Linked DNA regions of Elephas maximus indicus. The protein of the gene in region 1 interacts with the protein of each later gene in a pairwise test. Links are inferred from orthologs where the notes say so. Each region holds a gene or a part of one and is shown in the gene's direction. Other genes may lie near its edges. The genes, in order: CEP70, KAT7, RBM10 and FAM133A.

What was found.
Region 2: the proteins of CEP70 (region 1) and KAT7 interact in a two-hybrid assay, tested with the Homo sapiens proteins (2 studies listed by BioGRID and IntAct). The two-hybrid records come from large-scale screens. The link is inferred for Elephas maximus indicus from reciprocal best matches to the Homo sapiens genes CEP70 and KAT7.
Region 3: the proteins of CEP70 (region 1) and RBM10 interact in binary tests that used the Homo sapiens proteins (3 or more experiments, as listed by UniProt). The two-hybrid records come from large-scale screens. The link is inferred for Elephas maximus indicus from reciprocal best matches to the Homo sapiens genes CEP70 and RBM10.
Region 4: the proteins of CEP70 (region 1) and FAM133A interact in binary tests that used the Homo sapiens proteins (3 or more experiments, as listed by UniProt). The two-hybrid records come from large-scale screens. The link is inferred for Elephas maximus indicus from reciprocal best matches to the Homo sapiens genes CEP70 and FAM133A.

Annotation. Positions count from the first base shown.
Region 1 is NC_064844.1:38,735,657-38,743,376, forward strand, and holds the start of CEP70 (centrosomal protein of 70 kDa), read left to right. Parts: upstream 1-4,715; 5' UTR 4,716-4,801; intron 4,802-4,902; exon of another isoform or gene 4,903-5,143; intron 5,144-7,720.
Region 2 is NC_064837.1:43,821,634-43,829,390, reverse strand, and holds the start of KAT7 (histone acetyltransferase KAT7), read left to right. Parts: upstream 1-4,755; 5' UTR 4,756-4,925; coding exon 4,926-4,940; intron 4,941-7,350; coding exon 7,351-7,498; intron 7,499-7,757. UniProt on the Homo sapiens protein: Catalytic subunit of histone acetyltransferase HBO1 complexes, which specifically mediate acetylation of histone H3 at 'Lys-14' (H3K14ac), thereby regulating various processes, such as gene transcription, protein ubiquitination, immune regulation, stem cell pluripotent and self-renewal maintenance and embryonic development.
Region 3 is NC_064846.1:124,663,593-124,671,092, reverse strand, and holds the start of RBM10 (RNA-binding protein 10), read left to right. Parts: upstream 1-4,497; 5' UTR 4,498-4,805; coding exon 4,806-4,875; intron 4,876-6,683; coding exon 6,684-6,828; intron 6,829-7,500. Other genes in the region: NDUFB11 (NADH dehydrogenase [ubiquinone] 1 beta subcomplex subunit 11, mitochondrial), read right to left, coding at 1,265-1,391, 1,567-1,697, 3,829-4,035. UniProt on the Homo sapiens protein: Binds to ssRNA containing the consensus sequence 5'-AGGUAA-3'. May be involved in post-transcriptional processing, most probably in mRNA splicing. Binds to RNA homopolymers, with a preference for poly(G) and poly(U) and little for poly(A).
Region 4 is NC_064846.1:66,543,381-66,550,905, reverse strand, and holds the start of FAM133A (protein FAM133A), read left to right. Parts: upstream 1-4,506; 5' UTR 4,507-4,525; intron 4,526-7,525. Other genes in the region: NAP1L3 (nucleosome assembly protein 1-like 3), read right to left, coding at 1,615-3,033.

The DNA of each region.
Region 1 (7,720 bases):
GGGCAGGGACTAGAGGGCAGAAGCGAACAGGAAAACTGGTAATAGGGAACACAGGGTTGAGAAGGGAGAGTGCTGACATTTTATGAAGTTGTTAACCAATGTCATAGAACAATGTGTGTACTAACTGTTTGATGTGAAATTAGTTTGTTCTGTAAATCTTCATCTAAAGTACAATAAAAAAAAGAAAAAATAAAATTCAAATGTAGCAAATTACAAAAAAAAATTATATTACCCTCTTTGCTTATTTGTTTTTCTATAGGCCCAATTAAATAAGACAAAAAGTTGCTTTAATATAAAGTTCGTAGTATTTTAATTTTTCTTGTCCAGGTTATGTATTACTCTAAGTCAAAGACTAAAAAAATTTAATAATTATTCCTGGAAAACTTAATGGCATATCTGGCTTATAAAAGGCTGGAATGCTTCAAGTTTTTTTCAAATTTTATAAATTTTCAAAGGTAGATATTGGCCAATAAAAGCACTTTTTATGTAAGGATCAAAGTGAGCAATATCTTATAACAACCACAAACCAAATATTAAAGAGTCGCACAATTTTCATCATGGCGGGGGGAGCCCTATGAGATCACCTAGTCTAGTTTCTCTTCCTCTTTATGTCTTTATGGGGAAATAAGAGTAAAGAGACACACCTCCAAATGCTAATCTCCCACCCCGACAGCCAACTGTAGGCTCTTACTATCCACTTCCCTAACAAGGCTGTAGAGGGCTCCAATAATGCATCTGGAGTAAAGAAAATTTTTCACATGATCCCACCATATAGGGTGTTTCTCATTAACAAATATAACAAATAATGTTTAATGTTTAGCAAAAAAATGCCCCAAATTAACTCTGCCTTCTGTTTTGGGCTTCTTTCTTATCCCACAAGTTTCACTGTTTTGTGATTTCTGTTACTTTTATACCCTCTAAAAATCTCAGCACTTGAAAAATTAATTGTGAATTCTTAGATATGACAATGAAAGCATGAGCAACAAAAGACAAAATAAATTGAGCTTTATCAAAATTAAAAACTTTTGGGCACCAAAGGATTTTATTAAGAACATGTAGAGACAACTTAGAGAATGGTAGAAAATATTTGGTAACCATGTAGCTGATGAGGTTTTAATATCCAGAATATATAAAGAACTCTACAACTCAACAATAAGAGAACAAACAACCCAATTAAAGAATGGGCAAAGTACTTAAACAGACATTTCCCCAAAGAATATATTCAAATGGCCAATAAGCATGTGAAAAGATGCTCAACATCATCAGTCATTAAGGAAATCTCATCAAAACCACAACGGGATACCACTTCACAGGCACTAGGATGGCTATTATCAGAAAAACGACAATAACAAGCATTGGTGAGGATGTGGAGAAACTGAACGCTCATTCATCGTTAGTGGGAATATAAAATGGTATAGCTGCTGTGGAAAAGTTTGGCGGTTACTCAAAAAAGTAAAATACAGAATTACCATATGACCCAGCAACTCCATTCCTAAGTATACACCCAAAAAAATCGTAAGGGGGAAAAGAAACAGATGCTCGTATACCAGTGTTCATAATAACCAAAAGGTGGAAACAACCGAAGTGTCCATCAATAGATGAAGAAACAAAATGTGATATAGCCATACAATGGAATATATACAGAAATGAAGTAGATGATACAACATGGATGAACCTTAAAAACTTCTGCTGAGTGAAATAAGTCAGACACAAAAGGACAAATCTGTCTGATTCCACTTGTATGAAATATCTAGAGTAGACAAACACAAAAGTTCATTATTGGTAAGGAGGGGTTGTGAGGAGGGTAAGTGTGGAGTTATGGCTTAAGGGGTACTCGGTTCCTGTGGAGGGTGGTGAAAAACATTTAGAAATGGATAGTGGTGATGACTGTACAACATGGTGAACAAAATTAATGTCACCGAATTATATGCTTAAACTAGTTAAAGTGACAAGTGTTTTGTTACATGTATTTTTCAAATAATTTTTTAAAAATTAATTGGAATTGCTCTCCTGGCTCAGAATCAGGGGAGAACATGCAGAACACACTCTTAATAGCCATAAATGCAAGTGATTAACAGACTGACATCTGTGTTTTGACCTTTTATCAATACACATAAAATATGCCCACTGGTGAATCTTCTAGCGAACTTAAAAAAAAAAAACACTGAGATTTGGGCTAATGGTCTGAAACAAAGTAAAATTAAATATGAATATGAAGAATTATTCTAAAATCTCAGCAGAGACTAAAGCACAGAAATTGGTATTTACTTACACAAGCTTTAAAATACTTTAGGCCATCTACTGATTTTTCGTTTAAGAGTATCCTCAGAAAAAAGACAGCTTACTTCCTCCATAACTAGGGATTCTCTGGATGGTCTGTAAAATATGATCCTGAGCAAAACATAATCCACTTATTCACAAATAGTTACTAAATGCCTACTAAATGACCTGAAAGCACTCCAAAGCCAACTACATGCTTAAAAAATTCTCTATGGTTCTGTATGATTTTCAGCAGCTATGCCTGCTTCTCTCTTCTCTTATGCCTGCTTTGGAAACCCTGGTGGCATAGTGGTTAAGTGCTACGGCTGCTAACCAAAGCGTTGGCAGTTTAAATCCACCAGGCGCTCCTTGGAAACTCTATGGGGCAGCTTTACTCTGTCCTGTAGGGTCACTATGAGTCGGAATCGACTCGATGGCACTGGGTTCGGTTTTTTTTTTTTTTTCGGTTTTTTTTTTTTTTTAAAGCTACCGCTGCTGACCAAACCGTCAGCAGCTGGGACCTGCCAGGCATTCGTTCCTTGGAAACTCTATGTGGCAGTTCTACCCTGTCCTATAAGGTCGCTATCTTATATAACTGGCATATATACATTTAATTTTCAGGATTATGTGACAAAACTGGAAATGATAAATACAAAAAAATCCCTCTATTTTAGCACAGAGATTTTAAAATGTAAATGAAGAGGGAGAAAAAACAAATTTCATTATTTTCACTGATGGGGAAGATATCACCTGAAACTTTTTACATGTCTTCAGAGAAAGTCTTTTTTTTTTAGTATCTAGTGATTTACCCATCAGCACAATCTTTTAAAATTCCTTCCTTAGCAACCTAACACTGTTTATTTAACTACCCCAGCCTGAATTCTACCTTGACTTGGGGTTAATTGTACTGGGGACTGCAGTGATTGGTTCAAACTAAACCTAAGTCAGTGTTGTTTAAAGCAGGAGGAGAAGGAGTAATTACTGAGATAACTCAGAGTTGCCTTTTCAGCAAAAGCTCCAGCTAAGGCCAGTCATAAGGCAAGTCACCCATTCAACAAACAGGTGCTGCTCACATCCTGTGCCTGGCCTTTAGCAAAGCACTGAGTCCTCTAGCAAAGTCTGTCAAGTAGCTCTCTGCACCAGATACTCCCAAATGCTACTAGAGGCATGGATACACGAATAACTTTCTTGAGGTATGGCCATAAGACTCATGGATTCATTCCACACAAATAATCATGCTCAAAAATGCAGACAGAACGATACCCAACGAACTGCTTTTTCTAATAGCTAAAAACTGAAAACCATCTGTATGTTCACCATCAGGAAATCTATTACGTAAATTACAGTCCAGCCCATGCCAGGCGCCAGGGACGGATGTGGTGGTGAACTTGGCACACATGAACGCATAGCCTTGTGCAGCGAATAAAAAGAATGTAGAAAAACATTTATAGCCGTGGGTACATACGCATGATGTATCGTTAAGCAAAGGAAGCCAAGTTACAGCACTTACAAGATCCAGGTTCTGCAAAATAAACCCTGCTCATGCCTTTTTTTTTTTTTTTTTTTCATGCTTACAGGGTAAAATGGACTGAAAGGAAATAAACCTAAATGTTAACAGGAGTTGTTCGGGGGAGCAGTGATTCGGTTGATTTGCTTTCTTCTTTGTGCTTTTCTATTATATTTTTTTGACGGCAACAAATACTATTTCTACAGTCTGAGTAAAAAGCCCGAGGCGCCGGGCCTGGCTGGGTACCGACGCCACACACCCGCCCTCTGCCAGCCGGAAGCCTGAAGCCGAGGGCCGCCCAGGGCCTTCGCCGGGCCGACGGGAAACGTCCAGAACACACCCCGCGCGGCCCGCGCCTCACCCCGCAGGGTCCCAAGGTCCGCACAGACATTGCCCGCGGCCTCAGCCGCCAGGAGATGGCTGCCACCGCCCACGCTGCCGTGGCTCAGCGGGTTGCGGGGACGCCTGGGGCTGCCCACAGGGGCTTCCAGGGTCCCGGGCGGGGGCGCCCGGGCTGTGGAGGGTGGGCCAGGCCCTCCGCGGTCCCGCCCAGGCCGCGGGTCTCACCTGTGCGCGGTGGATGCCGGAGGCCCTTGGGGGCTCCGCGCTAGGCACTGGGTTGGTTCCGACACGGCCACTCGAACGGCGTGAACTTGCTCCGTTCGCCGAGAACCGGACGCAGCCGGCGCGGACACTGAAAGCTGGGCAGGCGCAAGTCCCAAACGCGCGGCTGTTTGTCGCGCATCAGGTCTCCCGGGGTGCTCGGCGCAGGTCTCCCGGGGCGCTCGGCGCAGGCCACCACCTTCTCACCGCACGACCGATCCAACCCCCGCCCGCCGCCTCAGCGGGAGATTTCACGTTCTCTGCACAGACCGTCCTCAATCCGCACGCGAAACATTACCTAGTCCTGCACTGCATCCCCTCATGCAACCAACAAATGCTAGTGAGAGCCAGCGGTGTGCCAGGCTCTGGGCTGGACGCTAGGGACAATCTGGTGGGCAAAATCTGATCCAGTGCCTGCTCTGAAGTCTTAGGGTAGGTAGACCTGATCCTGGCATTCTCTCCTTGAAATCCTTATGGACTCTGGTTTGCTTCTTTAGTTTCAAGACTAAAACTCCAGAAGGTAGGCAGGAGGCCTCATAGATGATCTAGGCCCTGCCTACTTGGATTCATTTAGAAAGGCAAATGCTTCCAACTCCTTCTCACCCAGGGCCTCTGCAAATGCTCCCTCCCCTGCCTGGGATACTCCTCCACACTGCTTCTTTTAGTTAACTTCCATTTTGTGTTGAGATTACTCTTCAGATAGCATTTTTTAAAGAAAACTATTCTAGTTTTTAAGACTTGAAGCACCTGTGATTCTTCTCGGTCGTTTTCAAGGTATGTAATGGTTTGTGTAATGTTTGCTTAACGTATGACTTATTCCTAGACTGAGGTCCAGGACACTAGGAACCATGGCTGTTTGATTCCCGCTCTTATGCTGCCCACATCTGCACAGTGCAGAGTCATAGGGGGAAAAAAACCCCACCAAACCAGTGCCCTGGGGTCAACGCTGACTCAGGCAACCCCATGTGTGTCAGGGTAGATTTGTGCTCCATAGGGTTTTCAGTGGTTGATTTTTTGAAAGTAGATTGCCTGGTTTTTCTTTCAAGGCATCTATGGGTAGACCCAGACCTCCAACCTTTCAGTTAGTAGCCCAGCAGTTTTATGGTTTGCCCCACCCAGGGACTCCAGACTCAGTCCAAAAAAAACCAAACCTGTTGCTCTTGAGTTGATTTTAACCCTGTAATACAGAGTACAGCTGCCGCATAGGGTTTCCAAAGAGGGGCTGGTGGTTTCAAACTGCCAACCTTTTGGTTAGCAGCCAAGTTCTTAACCACTGCACCACCACAGCACCTCAAAGTAGACTCTGATAAATACTTGTTGAATAAGTGCATGAAAAGCAGTCCTGAGTAATGTTTCAGGAGGAGACATTGTCGCCTGCAGAGAGTGAGGAAGGTTGTTGACAGGCCATCTGAGGAGATTAGTGAGTGGTCCCTGTGGACAGTGGGCCCAGCAATAGACCAGAGACATGTGAAGGGATTCTGGAAAGGTTGTGAGAGCCCAGCAGATTACAAGCATACTGTGCTTGGCCCCATTGTGTAATTTCTTCTTGCAGCTTGGTGTTAATGGAGAGGATTGTTTCATCTTTGGGGTTGGCAGGGTGAACGGAGAGTTGAGAGACATTAGGGATCAACCTATTGTCTAGGTTACCACTGTCCAGGGCTCCTTGCCCAGGGAATAAGAAGTAGGTGGAAAATTCAACTCAAACTGGAATATTCCCCCAATTCCAGGTATATAATGTAATAATGACTGAATAATGACTGAATTCTTAAGCAAATTATGTTACAGGGATTCTGCTTATTCTGTCGATTCCTTATTTGCTGTCCGTATTGAAAGTTCCCTGAGAACAAGGACTTTTCATATTTGTATTTCCCTGTTGAAAGAATGGATTGGGAGAAAGGTAAAAGGCTCCAGAGTGAAAATTTCCAAGAGATGGGACAAGGCTGGTTTAAGATGCCTCCCTAATTTCCTTTTCTGAGAAACAATCCTGAGTTGTTGGGCTAGGACAAGGAAACCCTGGTCAAGGAAAAACCCAAAGGTACTGTTTAATTAAACATCACATTTTCTTAGAAAACCTGAGGATCTGGATATCACTTACAAGACCAATAGGTTATAATTTATTGACAAGTGCCTTAGATATCGCTGTCTTTAGTTCTCCTAACAGCCCAGAGATTATATTTACCCCCATTTTGTAGGCAGACCCAAAGCCCTTTAGAAGTTGTAGGCCCAGGCCTGTGGAATTTGAAAGGTTCATGTTAACAGGGCCTGTTATTAGGAAAGTACTGTGCTTGAAGAAAAATCTAGGCCTAGCCCAAGAAGCCTGGAGGAGTTCTTTGCCCAGGGACACCAGAGTACAGCCAGGTTCTGCTCACCAGCAAGGTGCATCGATGTCTGCATTCAAAATAGGCAAGGCAACCTGTGATTCCTCAGCTGGCTTGTCATGTGCCACTGTTTCTTCTTTGGGTATAGCTTCTAGGATACCTGGAACTGGGGGAATATTCCAGTTTGAGTTGAATTTTCCACCTACATCTTATTCCCTGGGCAAGGAGCCCTGGACAGTGGTAAAGTACTCAGTTGCTAATTGAAAAGTTGTCAGTGTGAATCCACCAGCAGCTCTGCAGGAGAAAGATGTGACAATCTGCTTCTGTAAAAATTACAGGCTTAGAAACCCTATGGGGCAGTTCTGTTCTGTCCTATAGGGTCGCTATGAGTTAGAATCAACTTGATGGCAACAGGTTTTTGGTTTATTCCTTTGGCCCAGGACACCTGAGGTAGGAGTAGTCACTGATTACTTGACAGGACTGTTATAGAAAGAAAAAAAGTCTCAATAAAGCCATTGTGAGATTATTGAACTCAAGTATAAAGTTTACTCATTTAGGCCAATCCTGCTTTTGACTTTTCCCAATATTAGTTTTCCAGGAAGTGCATAGATGCTGCTCTAACCTCCTACATTGCCCCACAACCAACTTGCCCATAGACACTAGAGACTTATTTTAAGAGAAAAGCCAAAAACACTCTTATTCACGATAGTCTGTTATCACAGGACCTCCTTTTGAAAAGAGAATTGTTGATGGATTGATTTTTCTGAACTCATTTTTTAAACAGCATGATCGGAGACCAAAATAAAAGGGAAATGTTACAAACATCTGATAGCTACAGACTTAAAATTTTCCACGTGCCCTTCCAGCACTAGCCCCACATGATTATTGTTAAAGGAGGCAGCATCAGTGCTTTAGAAACAAGCCCAGGGTGAAGTATTCTGGCTGCTGGGCCAGCCTCAGAGGGCAGTGTGTCAGAGCCTTTGCCAGTGACCACAGTCTGCTGCTGCTAGCCAGGCTGCTGCTGCATCTCTCC
Region 2 (7,757 bases), on another chromosome or scaffold:
CAGCCTCCAGGAGCTCTTAGGCCTTTGGGACAATCAACTATACTCTGTATTTGAAATATGTTGCCTCATTTTTTAGGAGTCCTTGGGTAGCAAAAACAATTAAGTGTTGGGCTACTAACTGAAAGATTGGTGGTTCGAACCTACCCAGAGGTGCCTTGGAAGATCTGCTTCCAAAAAGTCACAGCCATGAAAACCCTATGGAGTAGTTCTACTCTGGAACACATGAGGTCACCATGAGTTGGAATCAACGTGACAGCAACTGGTTTTTACCTGTCTTTTTACCGATAAGGGGAGTGTTTTAAGGGAATTTAGAGCTCCTGGGTGGTGCAAGTGGTTAAGTGCTTGGCTGCTAACTGAAAGGCTGGCAGTTCGAGTCCACCCAGAGGCGTCTCAAAAGAAAAGCCTGGAAAATTCAGCCATTGAAAACCCTATGGATTACAGTTCTACCCTGATACATGGAGTTGCCATAAGTTGGAATCAACTCTGTGGCAATTATTTTTTTTGTGGCTGGAGGCGTTTAGAGAGCTTACGAATGTAACTGAGAAAGACATAGATATGGTAAGAAAAAACACAAGGACAGACATAAATGACAGCCCAACTCACCTCAGGATGGCTCTCCTGCCATTCTGATTAGTCTCCCTCACAGCTGCCAGAAGAGATCTCTAAAATGCAAGTCTGATCATGTGACTCCTCTGTTTAAAATCCTTCACAGGTCCTCACCTCTAGAAGAGTCCAGGTTCCTTAGCAAGGCGTTCAAGATTCTTCATGAACTGGTTCCCAAAACCATTCCCACCTCTTCTTTTGGCAACTGCCCCAACTCCACCATGTGGAGTTGGTCACCCCTGCATACCATGCTGCTCCATATGTCTGCACTTTTGCACATGCTGTTCCCTTTACCTCAAAAGCCCCTATTCTCCATGTCCAATGGCAAACTTATTTGTCCTATGAAATTCCACTCTTTTCACAACTTCCACGAATCCTTTCCTAAGCCTTCCAGATGAAACGCCCACTTCCTCCTCTGTACCACTTCTGAATCTTGCTCAGCCTTCTATTTTCGTATGTAGTACTCTACAGTGTTTTGGAACTCTGAGCTTACTGGCAGGTCTTCCCTACTGGACTCCAAGATCCTTCAGGGGAAAAACAGTGTTTTGTCCATCTTGTTATGACTCAATGCTTGGTTTATAATGCCTGAATAATTACTCTGTGTCTGCTGAACTGAACTTAGGTTGAACAGACAAAAACAAACCATTGAGACTGTCCTGGATTGAATTGTGTCCCCCCAAAGTATTTGTCAACTTAGCTGGGCCATGATTCTCAGTATTGTGTGACTGTCCACCATTGTATGTGATTTTCCTGTATGTTGTAAATCCTATCATCATGGTGTAATAAGATGGATTAGTGGCAATTATACTGATGAGATCTACAAGATTAGGTAGTGTCTTAAGCCAATGTCTTTTGGGATATAAAAAAGAGAAGTAAACAGAGAGACATGGGGACCTCATACCACCAAGAAAGCAGTGCCAGAAGCAGAGCGAGTCCTTTGGACCTGAGGTTCCTGAGCTGAGATGCTCCCAGACCAAGGGAAGACTGATGACAAGGACCTTCCTCCAGAGCCGACAGAGAGAGAAAGCCTTCCCCTGGAACTGACACCCTGAATTCAGACTTCTAGCCTACTGGACTGAGAGAGAATATGCTTCTCTTTGTTAAAGCCATCCACTTGTGGTATTTCTGTTATAGCAGCACTAGATAACTAACACAGATAAAACAGATACCACGTAAATACATATTCACAAACATTAAGATGTATAACCATGATTAGGGTGAAAGAAATTATAAATAGCAGTAACAACAGCCATTTGTTGAGCAGTTATTCTATGTTAGGAAATGTACTAAGTGCTTTACAACAGTCATCTCTTCTATTCCTTACAACAACCCTGTGGGGTGGCCATTAGTATCCCCACTTCCCAGGTGAGAAAACTGAGGCATAGATCAATTAAAAAACTTACCCATGAGCAATACAGATAGAAAGCAGCAGAGATGAGATTCAAATCCAGATCTGACATCAAAGTCCTGAACTGGACAGTAAAAGGGCTGATAAATAAAATAAACAGGAGTTATGTTTCTAATTATCTGGCCAGGAAGGGGAGTGAGGAACAGAACATCTACCAATTGTACAAAGAAAAGTGTAACTATAGCAGCAAGGACAAAATCACATATCACTATATTCTCCTACCTTAAAAAAATAGCAGCAAGGACAAAATCACATATCACTATATTCTCCTACCTTAGGAAGAATAAATCAGGAAAAACTTTGAGAAGAAAGTAAATTTTAAAGAGAGTTGGGAGATACATCCAGGGAGGAAGAAAAGACTTTGTGAAGCTATAAAGGCAGGAAGAACGGTGGAGAGTGCCTCCATGAAGTCTTGTGGATGAGGATGGGCAAGGGGGCAACTGGTCAAAGGCTTTGAAACCAACCTCGATTTCTGCTTTGAACACTAACTGCACCACGATGAAAAATGACACACGAAGGAAAAGTTATATTTGGTTGAAAAAGAAAAAAGTTTCTAACATCCTCCCCACCCCCATTTTTACCATACCTAGCTGGTCTACTCTCATCTTAAATCTTAAGTACATATTCTTTCCCTCAGAAATGTATTTCTAGCCTACCGGTATTAGTTTTTTCATCTTTCTGCCAGAGTGTACAGTTTTCTCGGACCAGAACTATGTCTAAATGAAACTGTAAACTCTTCAGCATCAGCTGCAGTTTTAAGAGAATCTAGTGCAGGCGCTTAACTAATGTTTAACATTTGGAATGCTGATATTTGTATTATGAATGGTTAAGTTAGATAAGGTCTTATTGTAAAATACAAATTTCCAGGGAGGGAATACTTCACCATTTTTGAGTGTTAAGATGTGTAACATCTTAGAGACTATAAAATTATAACAATACTCTGAATAGCAAGCATTTACTATGGGCACAGAATGGTCTAAGTACTAGAATCGAGATAGGTTCTTAACCCAAGAAGTCCTTACCACTAGTAGGAGAGCCAGACATCCAAAAGTGACCTCAGGAACACACCAAAACCATTGCCATCGAGTCAATTCTGACTCACAGCGACCCTGTAAGACAGGGAAGAACTGCCCCATAGGGTTTCCAAGGCTTTTTTTTTTTTTAATCTTTATGAAAGCAGACTGCCACATCTTTCTTCTCCCGAAGAGTGGCGGGTGGGTTGAACTGCCCACTTTTCAGTTAGCAGCTGAACGCTTAACCACTGCCCCACCAGGGCTCCTCAGGAATACACCACTAAGTGCAAAATAACAGAGTAGTAGTGTGAAATAGAATGCTTAAGTGCTGAGGGGATACAAAGAAGAAATGTGAGCTACTTTCAAATAAGTTCTTATGTGCAGTTCAACCTAAGCAGGTCATTCAGAAATATTTATGCTAAATACTAAAATTCTAAATACTAGAAGCTGCCAGTGTCAACACCAGCCCACAACATCCCCAAGGAGAATGCTGGCCTAAGTGTCTGGAAATCTCACTCTTTAGAGCCCTCTGTTAGCACATCAATCCGAAGTTTACCTTCCGTTGCTTTGTTCTTTAGCTCTGCTCCTGGGGGAAATCTCCATCTTTCCCGGCCTCAGGTTGAAACTTGGGTCCAGGGTTCTAACTTAATGACTGAGCTAGCCCAGATTCCACCCAGTCGCTCTTGGCCAAGCCTTGGTCCTCTCAAAGGTTTTCCTCCAGAGAGATTCAATCTTCAACGCCTGCTCTCCACTTTCCAGCCTTTTCATATGCTCTTCCTCTAGCCTTTTACCCTTGACTAACTCCTTCCTAGCCCTCTCCAAAGTAGGCCCTATTATTATTATTTAAGATACTCATGCCGTTCTGAGATCCAGCTTCCCCAAAATATTCTTTCCACTCCCACCCTACCCCAACTCCTGGCTCAGGCAGCTGAATTTCTAGAGGTCGCAGTTCAATGCTTCTCCGACTCTTGTACGGCACCCTCACATCCACGTCGTATTTTCACTCGTGGTCACCCAGCGCTCTCCAAGCCAAAAATAGGGGAGGAAGGAGGTGGGCGCTCACCACAGAGCTAAATTGGGAATTCTGTGGAGCCACGGCTTCTGGAGAACGGTTTTGTCTCCTCCCGCGACATGAACGACAAACTTACTTGCAGTTCGCCAAGGGGAAGGACAATGTCTCCTTTACTAGACAGGAAACTTCCTGATGATGGAGGCTACCCTTTCATTCCTTTTACAATCCCCCATTTCCACCTCTTTGACACACAGGACAGCTCTTAAAACAGAAAGTTCTTTATCAAAATATCCCTTCCCAACTTTGAGTTTATATAATAAACGGAAACGTCCCTTAGCCAATTAGGCAACGAAGGGGTTAAATTTCAACAACCTGATGGATTCTGGGGATTTCCTACCTTTTCGCCATTAAATTAAAACTACTGGGAAGGAAAGCTTTGCCCAAGATAAAGATGAAAACCGTTAACGTCTACTCTTAGGCTTCTGCCCAAACAAGAACGGCTACCCAAGCCTACAAACGGCGCCATTAGCCTAACCAAAAATGGCTGGCCCCAGTTTCCACCAGCTATTTTTTATGCCCCTTTCTGCCCAACTCCAAAATGGCGCTCACTAGCCTCACCAAAAGAGGCGAGCAACACGCCCACCTCCCAGCACCCTCTTTGGCCCGAAACGTCAGGTGACGCGAACCCCAGCCGGAAGTGAAGGAAAAAGCGCCTCGGCCCGCGGCGCCTGCGCAGAAGACTCTAGACGCTGTGAGGCAAGAGGCACTTGGGATCGTCCGCAGAATTGGGACTGCTACAGAGGCCGCCACGGAGCCCGCCGGAGCTACCGTTCCTACTGCTGCCGCCGCCGCTGCCCGAATCGGAACCATCGGGCCGCAGCCGCCGGCAATGCCACGAAGGAAGGTGAGAGAAACGGGAGGGGAGGGATGGCGGGTTTCTAAGGCCAGTTGATTGAGCAACGTGACGCAGTTGGCCACGCCTCACAGTGGTTGGGTTCCAGCTTCCTGCTCCCTTGAACTTAGCTCAGCGGACCTCTCTTCTGGCCATACCCGACAGAAAAATGTGGGCCCGACCCTGGCCTCGGCCTGTGCTTGTGACTATTCCCGCCCTCTACTTGGCTGGATCGGAGGCGTTCTTACCGTTAATTGGCCGCTGAAACGTCTGGGAGCATATTGATTGGCTGGTGACACCGCCTGTTAGGGCTCAACGGTCACCTCCCCGCGTGCGGGAGCGGTGCCTGGACCGGCCCTACCGCGCTGCAACTGGCTGTAGGGAACGATCCCTCCTCTCTTCATTGGCTGCGTCGGGCCAATCTGTCCCGTGGGGGCGCGGTTTAGCAGGATTTCTATTGGGTGGCACGAATCCCCTCCTTTCCGGGTGGCGATGCTGTTGGTGTAGAGGCGGGGTTTTTGAGGACTTTTTTCCAGGTGGGTACAACAAAGCTGAGCGCTGGGTCTTAGGGAACCAGGGCGTGCTCCCAAGGAATACCGCTCAAGCTTGTTGAGTCTAAGACGTATTTTTCATCATTCGCTTTGCTCGGTGTAAGGGACTTAAAAGATGGTCTAGGAAACCCCTCCCCACACACTTTTTACATCTGAGTAAACAAAGTCTAGTGGTGTGCGCAAAAGCTCTCCGCAATGGCAGAACCAGAAAAAAAAAGTACACGACAAATCTAATTCAGCAATTGTTTATTGACTGCTTTCTACATGCTGGTTGCTAGAGATTCAAAAATTAATTTGACATGATCCCTGGTAAGGAATACAGACATAAATAACTAAAAGGATCTAGTGCTTGCTCTGTTTAGAGAAATACGTGGGAAGGAGGTGAGGGAGCAGTTAAGTCTGCTCTGGAGAAAGATGGAGGAGTACGCTGCCAAAGAGAAGGGCAGAGTTCCAGGATCAAGCCAGGGAGGAGTGGTCAGAGATGATCAGGAACTCAAATATCCGGGTAATTGGACTTGATTAAGACTCCACCTTCGTCCCACTGATTCTCTGTGACACTTTCCCATGGCCTCAGTTCACTTCTGGGCTGAGTTCAATCTGATTACCCTTAAGCTGGGTGATAGTCTTGCTTGTTTTTGCAAGAATTTTTATAGAGGCTTTCAAATAAATGTGTATAGTTTATGATGTCTCCTAAAATGATCTGAGCTGTAGGTGGTATTTATGTTAAGGCTCACCAAATGCAGGAATAGTATCAGTACCTTGCAATAGGTCCACAGTTCCCTTTTTTGCAATTCCCAAATACAAAGAGCAAGTTTTTTAGTAACTTGTTTGGTGACAAAGCCTGCCCTAAACTGTCTTGAGGCTATTTATGGTTTTTATGTATCTATTTAGTGTGATTGTATAGTTTGCTGTGGAAATAGTAATGTGTTGCTTATAGAGTATTTGTAGGATCTGTGCAAAAAGATTTTCCTTCCCAAAAATCTGTGCAAAAAAAGTATTTCTTTTCCCACAATCTATAAAATTATGAATTTGAAACAGCTGGCCCCCAGAGTTTTTAATAAAGGATCCAGGACTTGTAGTTTGAAGCTTTTTTTGTTTTTAGGAAGTATTCTTTTCTTTCTGGTTTAATAAAGGGTATGGTGTTAATACTCATTTGATGAAAGTTATCCTTATGGCTAATTACACCTGAGGACGCTAATAATTTACAAATGATCATTAATTGAAAAGATGATAAATCACCTCCGTGTTCGAATACCTTCTAATCTTCATTTGCCAGCTGCCTTTTTCAGCACTTTGGATATTCATGCAAAGAAACTTCAAGGCTAGATGACATAGAAGGAATTTGTATCTTTTTCTCTTTCTGCTTCAGTTCTCTTGAGATCAGTGCTGTGGACCATGCTATTTTGTTTTTTTGGTTTTACATTGTTTTTTAAAGTGTGATAGCTATCAATGGAGACTTTGAATAAAAGCTACTCTAAACTGAAATGGGGCCCAGCACCAACATTTTTCTCACTACCTTGAGCTTTCTGTAGGTGCATGGTTATGTCAGCTAGACCATTTTCAGTTGGGTATTTTTATTTCTAGTTTGTGGTACTGGTCTCCAAAGGGACTTGTTTCAGGATTAGTGATATTACACTGTTACCTGTCTGTTTTCATTTACTTAACAATGGCACATTACTTGTAGGTTGTTCCATATAAATGTCCTAAATAAAGGGAAATTGGCTCTGGGCTGGGAAGGGAACTGTTTGTGGAATCCTTTCTTAGGTTTGAACTTGATGTTTTCAGCATCATGGTACATTTTATTTCCAGTGTTAATACAGACCCACAGAGTAAATGCTTCTGTACTAATGTCTGGATCTATGGTGTTACAGAGGAATGCAGGCAGTAGTTCAGATGGAACCGAAGATTCCGATTTTTCTACAGATCTTGAGCACACAGACAGTTCAGAGAGCGATGGTACTTCCCGACGATCTGCCAGAATCACCCGCTCCTCAGCCAGGCTGAGCCAGAGTTCTCAAGGTAAAAGGCTTCATGCTTCCTGACCACTCCTCAGAGTTGACTGACTGGTTAGCACATTATTTTTCTAATAATGTGGCAACTGGTCTCTTGGCTTGGTGCAGATGACAGAATCTGGTGAACTACAAGGAGAATAACTGTACAAGTATCAGGTCATATGCAAAAGATGGAGCATAGTGTTCTTAAAAGGTGTCATTGGCCATGCCCTGGACATCTGAAACAGCTAGAAAATGCTTGAGCTCTGGGTGTCTTAAGGAGCCTT
Region 3 (7,500 bases), on another chromosome or scaffold:
GAAAGGGCAGAAATGCCAGAAGCATGAAAGGGAGCCCAGATGTTCAGACTTAGGGAGCTAGGAGAAAGTCCCTGGAAAGAAACAAAGACAGCCAGAGCCAGAGAAAAGTCTCCTACTCCATCTGCCAGGTCCAGAGAGAAAAGAGTCTGAGACAGTAAGCCCCTGATGCAAGGAGACGGCCTATTCCCAGAAAGAAAGTGAAGTGGGAGGAAAGAAAGACTTCCTGTTTGAGAGAGAGACACAGAAAAACAGGGAAGGAGAGAAGGCAGGGTAGAGAAACAGAGTTAGAGACCACTCAGATTTTGGGTAGAACGGAAGAAACAAAAACAAACTAAACTGAGCCAGTTGTCATCAAGTCAATTCCTACTTGTAGTCATCTCAAGTATGTCAGAGTAGAATTGTGCTCCACAGGGTCTTCAACGGCTGGGTTTTTTTTTGTTTTTTTTTTTTTTTTTGGAAGTAGATTGCAAGGCCTTTCTTCTGAGGCACCTCTGGGTGGACATGAACCACCGAACCTTTCAGTTAGCAGCCAAGCAGAAAGGTGCATAAATCATAAATCTAGACTCATCAAAAGAAAGGCTGAAAGAGGGAAGACAGAGAAGGCAGGGAGAAAAACAAATACTCATCCTCAGCAATAAAAAAGCCCTGCTCTGCTCCACCATCCTCAATCCAAGGTCTCCCTGGCCCTTCTTCAAACACAGGCAATCCCAGTGTGGTAGCTTGTGTCTAAAGATGACTGCCATCAATTTCTTCCTAAGTGCTACTTCCCCATTCAGAGGAGCCCTGAGCCACCTTGTAAAAAGCCCAGGCTATTTTCTGCTAGAGAGCGGCCACATGGAAGAAGACTCATGTGCCAGACAGGTGAGTGAAGAAGTCATCTCGGATGCCCAGCGCAGTTGAGCTGTCAGATGACTCCAGGCCCAGCCACCATCTGACTGTAACTACCCAAGGACAGTCTTTGGAGGAACTACCTAACTGAGCCCAGTCAATCCACAGGACCATGACAGATAATAATAAATTGTTGTTTTAAGCCACAAATTTTTAAGGTGGTTTGTTACACACCAAAAGATAACCAAAACACCCAGAAACGGCTGCAGTGGCCTTTTAAGGCTTGTGAAACCCCCACCCCAACCCCCCACACAACAAAAGCAACACTAGCCAGTCCGATTTTCAGTCTCTTTAATTAGGTGCTCTGAGGAGAGGGCAGGAAGGCAGGTGGAGTGGGTGGGAGGGTGGTGCTTCGTAAGCCCCACTTGGCAATCAGTCAGTCCTCTTCCTCTGGCAGCTGGATCTTGCTGGGGTCAAAGCAATTGGATTCCATGATGGGGAGGCCATTGGCCTCTCGGTACTTTACAAGCCTCTCAGCTTCCCTGCGGGCCCACTCGTGCATCCTGGAGGCAGCAGCAGCAGGGGGTAGATGTGAGGGAGCCTCACTGGACACCTATCCCTCATTTTAGCTCCCCATTCCCCAACAGTGCAAGGACGGGATTCCGGGCAGAATCCCCTTCAACCTCCACCCCTGCCTCTGCCCCTCACCCATCCCACTCTCTTGGACACCCCATGCACCTGTAGTCAGGCAGGTAAGCCACAAAGGTGCTGCCAAGGACTAGGACGATGGAGAAGCCAAAGAAGAAGACAACACGCATGTTCCAGAGGTCCACAACAGGATCCTTGTCATAACCATGGGAGTCTGGGTTCTGTGGCAAGGAGAAGGAGGTATCAATGAGGGCTTCCTGCCATTCCACAAAGTCTCATGCTGGCCCTGCATAACCTTGTTTCTGGTCTCACGTCAGATCCATCACTCCTCCCTCACCACATCCCTCTCTTTCTATTCTTAGGACATGGCAAGTTCCTTCCCACCACAGGGCCTTTGCACTTGCTGTTACCTCCCATGGAAACTTTTCCCTGAGATCTGGTCATGGCTGGTTCCTCCTCATTCAAGGTTTCGGCTCAACCATCACGTCCTTTAGGAGGCACTCCCTAGTCATCTTGTCTATTAAGTTAGGAAGCATAGGAAATTGCCATTTTATAGGTCAAAAAACAGTTGAATATTGGCAATTTCCTATGGTTCAACCTAATAAAATAACCTATCTATAAGTCACTCCCCATCCCTTTATCCTGCTTAACTTTCTTTCTAGCATTCATCATTATTTGAAATTATATTCATTGTTTACCAAAGCAGTGTACCCTCAGATCCTCTGTATCATATTATCTTATGTTATTATTACTTTATACTATCATCTTCTGATATTTTACATGTTTATTTTCTGTCTTTCCCACTATCATGTAAGGTCTATGAGAGCAAGGGCTTTGCCTGATTCCCATACTGCTGTATCCCTAGAGCCTTGAACTGTGCCTGACATAAAGCAGGGCTTTGATACATATTTACATAATGAATGAATAAATGAATAAGCATCCTACATATCCACGCCCCTTAACCAGAGGTTAGTATTGATGAGGTACCTATTATGGGCCAGGCCTTTTCACATATATAATCCTCACAATATCTCAGTAAGGTGGAAAGTGATGAAAATAAACCCTGGTGGCGTAGTGGTTAAGTGCTACGGCTGCTAACCAAAGGGCCAGCAGTTCGAATCTGCCAGGCGCTCCTTGGAAAAAAGTTCTACTCCGTCCTATAGGGTCGCTATGAGTTGGAATCAACTCAACGGCACTGGGTTTGGTTTTTTTACCTTGTTTTGGTTAATGCTAACTGAAGGAGCCCTGGTAGCACTGTGGTTAAGAGCTGGACTGCTAACTGAAAGGTCAAAAGGTCAGCGGTTTGAACTTACCAGTCACCTAGCGGTAGAAAGATGTAGCAGTCTGCATCCATAAAGATTACAGCCTTGGAGACCCCATGGGGCAGTTCTACTCTGTCCTATTGGGTTGCTATGTGTGGAATCGACTTCATGGCAGTGTTTTTTTTTTTTAAATGGGTAATGTTATCTGGGTTTTTAATGTTAACTAAGTACTTACTAAGTGCCAGCTGACTCATTTAGTTTCAAGAGGCAGGTGTCCTATTACTTTTTCTATTTTACAGGCAAAGAAACTGAAGCACATGGGGTTAAAGTATTTGCCCAAGGTCACACAGGTGAGTAACCGTCAATGCTTGGATTCTAACACAAGCCACCGGATTTCAGAGTCTCTGCTATTAATACATCACAGTAGACCTGGCAGATCTAAGTTCAAATACCGGTTCCACCACTTACTCAGTTATGTGAGCAGAGGCAAGCTACTTAACATCTCTATGCTTCAGTTTTCACATCTGTAGAATAGGTGTATAATAGTGCCTACCTCAAAACAGGAAACCCTGGTGTCATAGGGGTTAAGTGCTACGGCTGCTAGCCAAAAGGTCGGCAGTTCGAATCCGCCAGGCGCTCCTTGGAAACTCTATGGGGCAGTTCTACTCTGCCGTATAGGGTCTCTATGAGTCGGAATCAACTTGACGGCAGTGGGTTTGGCTTTTTGGGGGGGGGGATTACCTCAAAATAAGGTTGTTTCGAGGATTAAACGAACTAATGTATACAAAGTGTTTAGCGCCACATAGATTCTTAACATTAATGTTGTTAATCCTATATTGCTTATACTGTGTTTTGATCGCTACCCATTTCAGGTTTGATTTTTGTCTGCAAAATAAGGTCAATCTCACCTCTGGGTCTGGACCGAGGATACCGGGGGACAAAGGCAGAAAACAAACTAAGCAAAATTCCCAAATCTTAGACGATTTCGTTGACTGCGCAATATCCAGCCACCTAATAATGTCCTCTAACTGCGCCCCGTCCTTCCGCCCCCGATTGACCCTCCCGATGTCCCGTTCCCCCTCCCTCTCACCTTCTCGTAGAGGTTTTCGTCCTCGAGATCCGGATCCTCCTGCGAGCGTATGGTCGGTTCCCGCGGCCGCTTCCCCGCGATGGCGGGTGGAGCAACCACAGCCCTGGAGGCGCTGGATTCCCAGCGGACACGGACAGTCGGGAGCCCTCGTAGCGCCGTTGCCGCCAAAAGGCGGCGAGCACACAAACCTAACAACCCCACCACCATGATTGTTCTGCAGCGTCTCGGAGGCGGGGACGGAAATGAGAGTTTGCGCAGCTGCAGCTGCCCCTAGCGCGATAATTTTCGCTCCGCCTCCGGCGCACCAAATAGGTCCCAGGTCAAATGAGGCTGGGCACTGAGTAACCCTCTTTCCCTCCCTTTGTCGTGGCTTTACGGGACCACCCAGTCTCTTATCCTCTCGATCAGGCTGAGAAATTTCTTATTGCTAGTTCTTCTCATTTCCTTGATGGAAGAAAGCGGTGACATTTGGGTGGATACAGTTCCCAGCCAATCTCACAGAGATTTCCCTTGCCCTTTGGGGAAGGGGACGGAGCTTCCGTTTGCCTTTCATCTTCAAAGGAAACCAACCTTCTAAAAAGCAGACCTTGCTGGATTGGCCAATAGCTACTCAACTTCTCGACTTGCGGGCGTTCGCATGGAGAGTGGGGAGGTGGCATACACTTGCCAATCAGAGGAGGCCAGGGCTGGCCGACAGCGGGCAGTGGCCAATAGCCGAGACCCGCCAGAGCGCGCTCCCTTAGTAGGTGGATGGTGGTCTAAGGGCCGGCTCCCTTCTCGTCGTCGCCATTTTGTGTTGGTGATTGCGGCTGGCTGGGAGTAGGCGGCGGTGAGTTTCTTTGGGGAGGGTAGCGCGCCTGGCGCTTCTCCCTTCCCCCTTCCTCGTCCCTTCTGCCTCCAGCCTCAGACTTGGTTGTTGCGTGGACCGGCTCAGGCTGAGCTGGGAGAGTTGGAGGAGGTGGCGACGGGCCGAGGTGATGTCTGGGAGCCCTCCCTTGACAGCCCGGACCGAGAAGGTGAGCGTCGACGCTGGTCGTGGGGGCGGAGGTAAGGGGCCGGGGGTGGGGTGGGGGCGTAGGGGTGGTGCTAGGGCGGGCTATGGGCTAGGGGGCCTGGAGTACGCACAGAACCCAGGAATTGCGTGCACTGTCTGAGCCAGGGAGGGGGGTGTTTCTCTTTTTTTTTTTTTTCCTTTTGAGAACAGAGGCGCGTGCGCGATTGGGAGACGGGATGGGTGCACGCGGGTTGGGGGAAGGGAGGGACAAATGGGAGTGGGTTACTGTGTCTGCGACGCTGGACTTAATGGGAGACGGGTGTCTGCGACTTTGGTTTTTATCCATACGGGAAGTGGTGTGCTGTTTGCTCTGTGAATCTGATGCTTCATTTGTCCATGGAGAAGTGTTCTGTGGCTCTGGTCCTTATTCCTTGCCGGGGGCGGGGGGGGGGTAATGTCTGTAGACTCTGGTCCTTATCCTTAGGGTGTGTGTCTGTAACTCTAGTCCTTATCCATGGGGGCTGTCTCTCTGATTGGCTCGAACTCACTTTGTGGGGAGGAGGTGCGGGGAATGTGTGCGTGATTATTGCCCCTTTTGGGAGGTTTGCATCTGTAGCTCTGACGCTCAGTCGTTGAAAGTGGTCGCAGTGTGTGATTATGGCCATATTTATTGCGGCTTCCTATCAGTGATTTTGACCCGTAATTATTTGGGGCCCCTATCTGTAACTTTGGTCTCTATCCGTTGTGGATTCTAGTGTGTGACTCTGGCTTCTTTGCCAGAGTCTTTTGAGATTTTTGTATCTAGCTCTGAGCCAGTGGGGCCCCTGGTTGTAGTTCTAATCCTTATCCATCTAAAAAAACCGGTGTCCTCTAGAGAGAGGTAACTGGTTCCCTGAGGCTTGTGGCGGAAGAGAAAATTTGTGTGTATGTGTACACACATGGGAGAGAGGTGTCGTGGCAACCTAGTGTTGGGCAGGGGCTGTTAACACCCGGCTTAGCTTAATTCCTGTTTAGAGGGTGGGGCCTGAAGAATTTGGGTACGTCCTGACCCCTGGCTGGGTCACATGGCTCTCAGGACTCCCTTAGTCTTCAAGGCAACTGTGAGGGTTGGGTGAAGTGATTTCTCTGTCCTGGCAGAATAGCACAGTGGTTTGGAACAGCCTCTGAAAGGCCCCCTTTTGCCTCTGAGAAAACTTGGGCTTAGAGCCCTTGGGGAGAGAGAGCTGTCTTGGGACCTGGCTGTGTGTAAGGCTCAGGGCTGATCCAGTTGCTGTGTGGGCTGAGCTGGCTGGGAGCCCAGGGAGTCAGCAGCTGTCTTCTTGCCAAGTTAGCACCTTCGCTACCCCCAGCAGCCTTTCATGGGATCTACCACCATGGAGGGGTCTGCCAGCATCTTGTTGGGGGGATGAAATGGTACCTAATGGGAACCTAAGACTCCCATTGCTGTGACTTGAAGTCTTGCCTCAGTGCCTTATGAACCTAATCTCTGGTCATTCAGCATTGATAGCACTCTGAGCTTGTCTACCAGTCTCAGATCGCAAAGCCGTGGTACCACAACCCCTTTACAACCCTTGAATCTACAGCCCCTGGGAATGTTCCAGGTCTCTCTGCAAGATGTCCCCTGTCTGATGAAGGCCTTGCTGTTTCTAGGGCAGTGGGCTCTAGCCTTATGTTTGTGGGGAAAGGAAGGAGCAAGCCAAGAAGGGGCTGTGTTCTCGCTTTGGTCCACAAGAGCAGTAGGAGTTGGGAAACAACTTATCTGGGCTAAGGGACAGCAGAGAGCCTTGAAAACTAGGGTTTCTCAAGGAGGTCCCCTCTGCCTCAACTGCCTTGACCCCTTTCTTCCCTCCGCTCTCCCCAGAGTCCCTGCAGGAGGCAGCATCACCCAGGCTGGCAGATCATGGTGGCAGCAGCGGGGGTGGCTGGGAAGTGAAACGGAGCCAGCGGCTGAGGAGGGGCCCCAGCAGCCCCCGCAGACCCTATCAGGACATGGAGTATGAAAGACGGTGAGTTATCCGCTCCCACCCCTACTAGGCAGCCTAGGCTCGTCCCCAGGTGGGAATTGATCCATGAAGGTGCTAGAAAGGGCCTTCTAGGCAGAGGAAACAGTAATAGATGATTGTTTTTTTGTTTTGTTTTTGGCACCTGTTTTGAGCCAGGAACTGTGCTAGGCTCTGGGAATGCAGTGGTGAATAAGACAGATATGGTTTCAGCCCTCTCTTTATTTGGGGGTCTCACAAGGAAGACTGCTCAGTTTATGGGTGATTACAGAACAGCATGATGGATGTCCTGATTAGATGTGAGGTTGGGAAGGGATCAAGAGAAAGGGAGGACTTGGGGCTGATGCCAGAGTTTCCAGCTTGGGTGACCTGGATTGGTATGTGGTGCCATTCACTACTGTGAGGACAGCCACTGCAGGAGGAGAGGCAGAGATTGGTATCAGATGGCTGTTGGGTTGTAAGTGCCTGTGGATGCACAGGAGAGAGGTCTGGACTGCGACTTGGGGTTTGGGAGGTGGGTGGGAGTGGGGCCTTCAGGGTCAGGAATTTGCCCAGGACAAATGAGGCAGATAGTGGGAGACATCAGGGACAGGTTGGGCTAGGGTTGGTGCTACTTGTCTTGGAACAGACTCACTCAAGGTTGGTGATACTTGTCTTAGAACGAACTCTCTCAAACAG
Region 4 (7,525 bases), on another chromosome or scaffold:
CAACACTAGTCTTCCTGATTTTGTGTAACTCATAAACAAGTTGAATATCCAACCATAAGTGATTGGTTGGATATGTCACAGTATGTTCATAGGTTGGAATATTATTACATTTATAGACACAAAAGGGCAAACCGTGGTTAATATGGGATAAAAGGGAGTTACTGAACTATGTACGGTGGATTTAGGAAGAATATTAGGTAATTTATGACTAAAACCCACTAAACCCACTGCTGTCGAGTCGATTCCGACTCATTGCAACCCTATACTAGGACCCAGAAACTCTCAAATCCTGTCTTCCTCAGGCCGCAGTTCTTCACTGGAAGGTCTTGAAGGAAAATATATGTGGAAGTGAAAATGACAAATGTCCCAGTTCCATCCTCTGCCACCCCTTTCACTCCCCTCCCTGCCACTCTCTCCACCCTCCATCTCTTCTTCTCCCTTCTCCTCCACCCTGCTACCTTTGCCTTCCCCTCCCTTCTCCCATTGCCCTCTTCCCCTTGTCCTCCACTCCCTCTCTTCTTCCCTCCCTCTCTTCTTTTTCCACCCCTCCCCTCCTCACTCTCACCTTCCTCCTATCCTGTCCAATACTTCTCCAATTACTTGAATATATATCCTCCAATAAAAGATCTAAGATGTGGGAAATACATCAGAATGTTAATAATCATCTTTTTTTTTTATTTTTCTTTTCCTCAGTATTTTCCAAATTTTTCTATGCTAACCAGCACATTTTCATAATTAGGAGAAAATGCTAGATTTTTATAACATGAAACACTTTATTTCACATTTATTTATTTTAGGTTGCAATAAAAGAACATGAAAAAGTATCAAATGATGTAAAGTGATCATTTTCAGTGAAAGGCAAAGTAGAACATATTACAAAGAAAATGTGTTCAGTAACTTTACAATTACACACTATGAGGAAACTTTTAAAAACATGTTATATTAACAGTCAGTGGAAAACAATGATTTCATTATGATTCAATTTATTCGCAGACCGTTATGTCACATAAACAAGCTCACAGTCATATTATATATGGTATTGATGGGCATTCCTAAATGTATGCTAATCTTTTTTCAAACAGTCAGGTTTTACAATGCACTGTTCTATTTAGTATAAGCACTGTATTTCTACCGCAAAGTAATGAAGACACAAGTAGTACAAGCAGACTTAAACCCTTAGTCTTCCAGGCAGAAGAAAAAAAAAAAAAAAAAAAAACACTTGCATTGGTGCTTCAGGAACTTTTTTTTCCAAGCAAATATTTCTCAGTTAACAATTCTGAGTTTTCACAGCTGAAATCTAACAGAAATATGACAAAAGGACTTCACAAAAATCAATACTCTGTAGCACCAAACTAACATGCTCTAGATAACTGATAGCAGTCTATATATTTTGAAGAATATTAAACTACAACAGGCTAAATAGAATAAGCAAAATACTTAGACACTTTTTTGGACAATTTTTAAATAGACTACCAAGAAAATACGAAAACACAACTGTAAGGAATACTAATGTTCAGGATATAGAGCAGGTTTTTTTTTTTCCCAAGGCTATATAAACCTGCTTCACTTCTTCTTGAAGTTTTGTGGTTCTTGAACAATCTGACAGCCTTATTTTTATTTTTGGTATTTCCTGTTTCCATAATCTTTACCATCTTCAAAACTACCACTGGCCTCTCCTGTATAGTAATAGATTGATTTCAGGATGACATTATCATGTAAAATTTGACCAATTGCAAAGTCCTCATCAAGGATAGCATCTTCTTGTGGTTCCAGCTTTCCGATTTGGGGAATCTCAGGAGGACTGAAGAAATTGAAGAATGATGCATTGGGAACCAGTCTTGGCTGGATTTCAACTTCTCCAGTAGCAGTTGTACGTCTGCGGGTAGTTCTCACGGTAACATCCTTTCCTCTTCTCCAATTGATCTTACAGCCTTTGCAATCTTCAATTTCCCATCCCCAAGAGAAAAAGGGATCACTGTGATCTGGTTTTGACCTTATTATGTATGTCTTTGTCAGCACCTCATTTCTGAAGTAGGGATTGGGTAGAAAATGAAATTCAAATGTGTAACTTATAGGCTGGCCAGGCTTTGAGAACTTCAGGCTAACATCTGACAAGAACTTCAGAATGGGCTCATCGTACTTCTGAATCATAGGCCCGAGCTTGTCAACATTCTTTAAAACAGTCAACCAATAGTCAGGAATGCCCTTAGGATCTTCTTTTTTAGGCTTTCCCCTACGAGCTCTTTTAAGATTAATTCTTTCTTTAGGCCTTGTCTCAGGAACTCTTTTAGGAGCCTCTTTTACTGCAGTCCTTGCCTTTGCCTCTGTTGCTTTAGGCTGTTCTTTTTCTTCTGCCTTTGCCTGGGGGACTTCATTAGGATCGTCTTTGACAGCAGGCTCTGCCTCCAGAATATCTTTAGAATCTACTTTTTCTTCAGTCTTTGCCTCAGGAATTTCTTTATGAACTTCTTTTTCTTCAGCCTTTACCTCAGGCTTTTCTTTAGGGTCTTCATCTTCTTCTTCATCCTCTAGGGCAGGCATTTCACTAGGGGTGTCATCCTCCACCTCCTCATCACTGCTGAACACTTCATCGTCTGAATTCCATTCACATTCTTCTTCTGTAGGTTCATATTCTGCATTGATGATTTGAAATCGCCTATCACATAGAGGCTTATTGAGTTCAGCATATTTTCTTTCAAGATCATGAATTGCCCTTAAGAACAGGGCGTCTACCTTGTCACATTCATCCTGAATATTTTTGAGTGCCTGCACGCGATTTCTAACTGCCTGCGGCAGCCTATCCACGAAATGGTTACCCGACCGAGCCCCCCGCACCCTTCTGGAAGGCCCAGGTACCCTCTTCTTCTTATGTGAGCGACTGTGGCTACTGCTGCTGCTGCAACTAGTGCTGCTGCAACTAGTGCTGCTGCTGTCAGATTCTTCCCCAGGATCTCTTGACGAGCTAGCCATCACCTCTTCAGCAACCCCCTGGGCGGCAGGTTCCGATACCTTTTTTAAACAGGTGTCCGCCATGTTGCAAGGCTGCAAACCTCTTAAGGTGGCGACTACTGCAGAGACCGCGCGCCCAGAGATGGGTAGAAAATGACTCACGGATGCTTGGGCGGCGGCGGCGGTAGCGGCGAAGGCCCGAGCTGTGGAAGTGGCAGCAGCGATGGCAGCAGCAGGAGCGCTCGGGTAGGCGGGGCGGGGGCTGCAGTGACCCCCGATGAGGTGTCAGCGACAGGGGAGGAGGCCTGGGCGACAGCGGCGGTGGCAAGGCCTCTCCTGGCTGCAGCTGCGGTGGACGGAGGCGGTGCCGCAGCCGAATGGCGCAGAATGAGACCCCAAGATCTCTTCTCGGTTCCGATCTCAAGCCCCCTCCCTTTGCAGCCAGATCTCCCGTTAATTTCGTTCCCGGTGTGCCTTTATTTCGCACTTCATTTGCTGGGAAACCTTGATTGACAAATTCTAGACCCAATGAATGACCAAACCCAACGTTTTTCCCACCCGGCTCCGCCCACCTTCCCAGACGCTCCTAGGTGGTTGAGGCACATATTATTTGCAAGACTTTTCTTTCCCTCCTCAAAACGCTGTCTTTATAGTTTTATAATTCAGAAAAAAAAGCTTAGACATGGGGTAAAAATATCAATCAGCCATAGTTCCTAACAAGGGGAGAGACGTGTCCTTCTCTCCATCCAACCAACCTGAAATTACGTTTGGTTTTTCACGGGCCTCCTGACAAAAATCTGTTTAAATTTTTTTTGACTGGAAGAAAATACTCCAAATGGCATCATTGGGTAGCGTGACTGTGGATGATTTTTTAAACAGCTCTTTACTTTGCGTTTTTCTATATTATAAATGTTTTATGAGCATGTATTTGTATACTGATAAAAAGGGGGGGGAGTCGCTTATTGGCAAAGGGGGGAGGGGCTAGATAGCAGGCATATTGCATTCCACGTAGCAGTTTTAATAAGTGCTGTTGTGATGTTTGGCAAGCCTGGTTTATATCCAGCTACAAGGTTTGTGCACCCATGATGCCGTGAGTCAGTTACACCGTTTTTACTGTATTTTTTTTTTCTGTTAAAGCTGGCATGTAATAATATCCCAACCTTGCTGCTGACTTGCCACGGGTAGCACTTCTCAAAGCTTGCAACAACCTTGGAGATAAAACAAAGGGGTATTCAAATGTCAGGTAGTACTACTAAAAAGCAAAAGGTTTACTTTATGCTTGTGTGCAGCAGGTTTCAGTTTCACGAGTAGCAGGATGGAAGAGGGGATTTGTGCTAATGAAGGTGCATCTTCTATCAGGGTATACTTTACAGTGTCATCTACCACCAGTTTTCTTCTAACATTGTAAAGTTCTAGCCATGCCAGATTATAATTTACATATCCAGTAATATGTGAATAAACTTGCAAACTGAAGTTTAAAAACAGGTATCTCTTATTTCTATTTACAGGATTATTTTCTGCTACAGAACAGCTCCCTTGGTACAACTAAAAAGAACTGTTTACTTTTCATTGAAAGGTAAGGAACATATTTAGCCCATATTTATGAATGACAAGAATTACCCATCTGTATTTGAATAAAAATTCAGAGCATATAGTCTTTTAAAGACTGAATTGGAAGATGGCTTGATATTTCTATGGCAACAGAAAAATCTAAATTAAATAGTGGTGATTTGGCATACTAGTGTAGAAAATTACCCTTAACCATATTCACTATCTAAACGTGGGCATAGAATATAAGTAAATAAAAATACAAAATATACTAAACTATTCATTTCGAATGAGGAGAAATATTAAAATTATACTAACCTTTGTATTTTTTGTTATAGGATTTGTGCTTTATAATTCAGAAGTTATGGGGACGCTTTTATTTTCTAATTTGTGAATGAATTAACTTTTATTGTTTATTTCTGATCTTCAAAGCATATGACCATTACAAAGAAAAAAATCCAGTATAGAAAATTGCAGTGATAGTAAAAACACAAACCTTTAAAAAATATATTTTACTGTGTTTTTGGAGAAAATTTACATAGCAAATTAGGTTTTCCTTTAACAGTTTTTGTACATATTATTTCAAAACCCATTGCCGTCAAGTCAATTCCTGCCCATAGCTATCCACCCCATAGGGTTTCCAAGGACTGGCTGGTAGATTTGAACTGTTGTTCTTTGTGGTTAGCAGCCAAACAGAACCACTGTGCCACCAGGGCTCCTATTCAGTGATATTGGTTACACTTTTCACGATGTGTCAGTATTCTCACTATTTCCATTCTGGTTGTTCTGTTTTCATTAATTAGCTTTTTCTGTCCCCCCTCCCTTCTCATCTTTGGTCTAAGGTAAATGTTGACTTTTAGGTCTCATTTAGATGATTGTTTAGAGGAGCACAGTACTCACGGGTGATATTTATTTTATGAGCCACTCTGCCTTTTGGCTGAGAGGCCACCACTGGGAGTGGTTTGAGTTCCAAACTTAAAGGGTATCCCAGGGTGGTAGTCTCAGGGGTTCCTCTAGTCTCTACTGGTCCAGTAAGTCTGGTCTTTTTTAGGAATTTGAGTCTTGTTCTACATTTTTCTCATACTCTATATGGGACCATCTATTGTGTCCCTGGTTGGGAGTGGTCGTTAGTGGTAGTTCTTCTGGCACCATCTAGTTCTCTTGGTCCCAAGGTAGGTGAGGCTGTGGCTCGTGTAGACTATTAGTCCTGTAGACTAGTTTCTTCTTTGAGTCTTTGGTTTTCTTCTTTGTTTTTTGCTCCAGATGCATAGAGACCATACTGTAATTGTATCTTAGATGGCCACTGCCAAGCTTTTAAGACCTCAGACTCTACTCGCCAAACCCAGTAACTCAGTTCCTCGAGGTATTTGGTTATGTCTAGGAAGCATGCATAACTGTGTCCCCAACGTGCTTTGTTTTATATGTGAATATATATGCAGCACACACAAACGTATATATACATTTGCCTACAGAAATACCTATACATGCGCACCGATATATTCATATGTGCTTACCTATACATATATAAGCATACGTATCTACCTATGTAACCACACACATATTTTTTGGTTATTTTTACTGTTGTTGCAAAATTGTATACGTCGTGGCGTTTACCAAAATTGTCCCTTATTCTTCTGTACTTCTTAGTGTCATCATTTACCTTGGTCAAGTTGTGTAAAAACATAAATCTTAACGACCAATGAACAATAAGCACTGTTAGCATTTTGATACATATTCTTCCAGAAATTTCTTTGTGCATATAAACACCTACCTATTTACATTTACTGGTTTATGTATACAACAATGTATTATGTTTTGTAACTACTCATTTAATTATGGATTATTAATCAATTATGGATGTATTAATGGATATAGTTTCATGTCAAATGATCAACATCTTTTAACAATAATGGGCATCTTGTTAATGGGTGTTGTTATTTTTTTATAGTACTTTAATGTTTTGTACCATCAGGAATTAGTGTTTAGGAGTAAGCAATAAGCTAGTGATCCATTTTTTTAAATTTATTTTTATTAGCCAGTTTTTTTAGTACCATTTATTTGATAATCTTTCTGTCCCCCCTTATTTGAAATATCACCTTTATCATATTAACTAAATTGCTTGAGTCTATTTCTGAATTCTCTATTTTGATCCATTGACCAGAATTTTTCTGCAAACAATTAATGAGCCATTTTATTTTGCTTTTAAATAATTTTGTATTTTATGAATATGATATGGGCTTATTGAAAAAAAAATCAAGCAGTACATGGAAATCCAGGGAGCCCTGGTGGGACAGTGATTAAAGTACTCAGCTGTTAACCAAAAGGTCAGCAGTTCAGACCTACCAGCTGCTCCCAAGGGGAAAGATGTGGCAATCTGCCTTGGAAACTCTAGGTCGATATGAGTTGGAATCGACTTAACAGCACACAACAACAACAACATTGAAATCCAAAGAAGAAATTAAAAGTAGCCCAAAATATACTATGAGGTAATCACTACTATTCACATTTTTTTATGAACATCTCCAAATTAATTTCACATTATTATTTATTTGTATTCTTACATTACCCAAAAACTTAGTGGTAAGATTAAAAGCCTTTTCCTGTGTTTATTGTCTATTTGAGAATTGTCTATCCATGCCCTTTGCTTGTTTTTCTACAGGATTAGAAAAGAAATTAATTGGTGGCCAAATCCTATCCTAATAGCAAAATAATTTTGGCCTTGATTTAAGGCAAGTATGACTACAAGAAAATATCTCTGTTTTGACACATTTGAGGAAATGTAGCCCCCCTAAAATGGTCTCTCTGTCACAGTGACAATTTTTTTTTTCTTAAAAATTTATCCCAATTGACTAGATAATCTTGGACAAATGTGACTAAACTACAGCTTTCATTCTAAAGTTATCTACTTGGAGTTTTTTTTTTTTTTGGATGATTTTCAAGGAACAATACTTTATCATTCACACTAGAAAAGTTTGGAATAGGACAGGAAGAAGAAAAAAAAATAAAACAAACATATAAAGATAACATT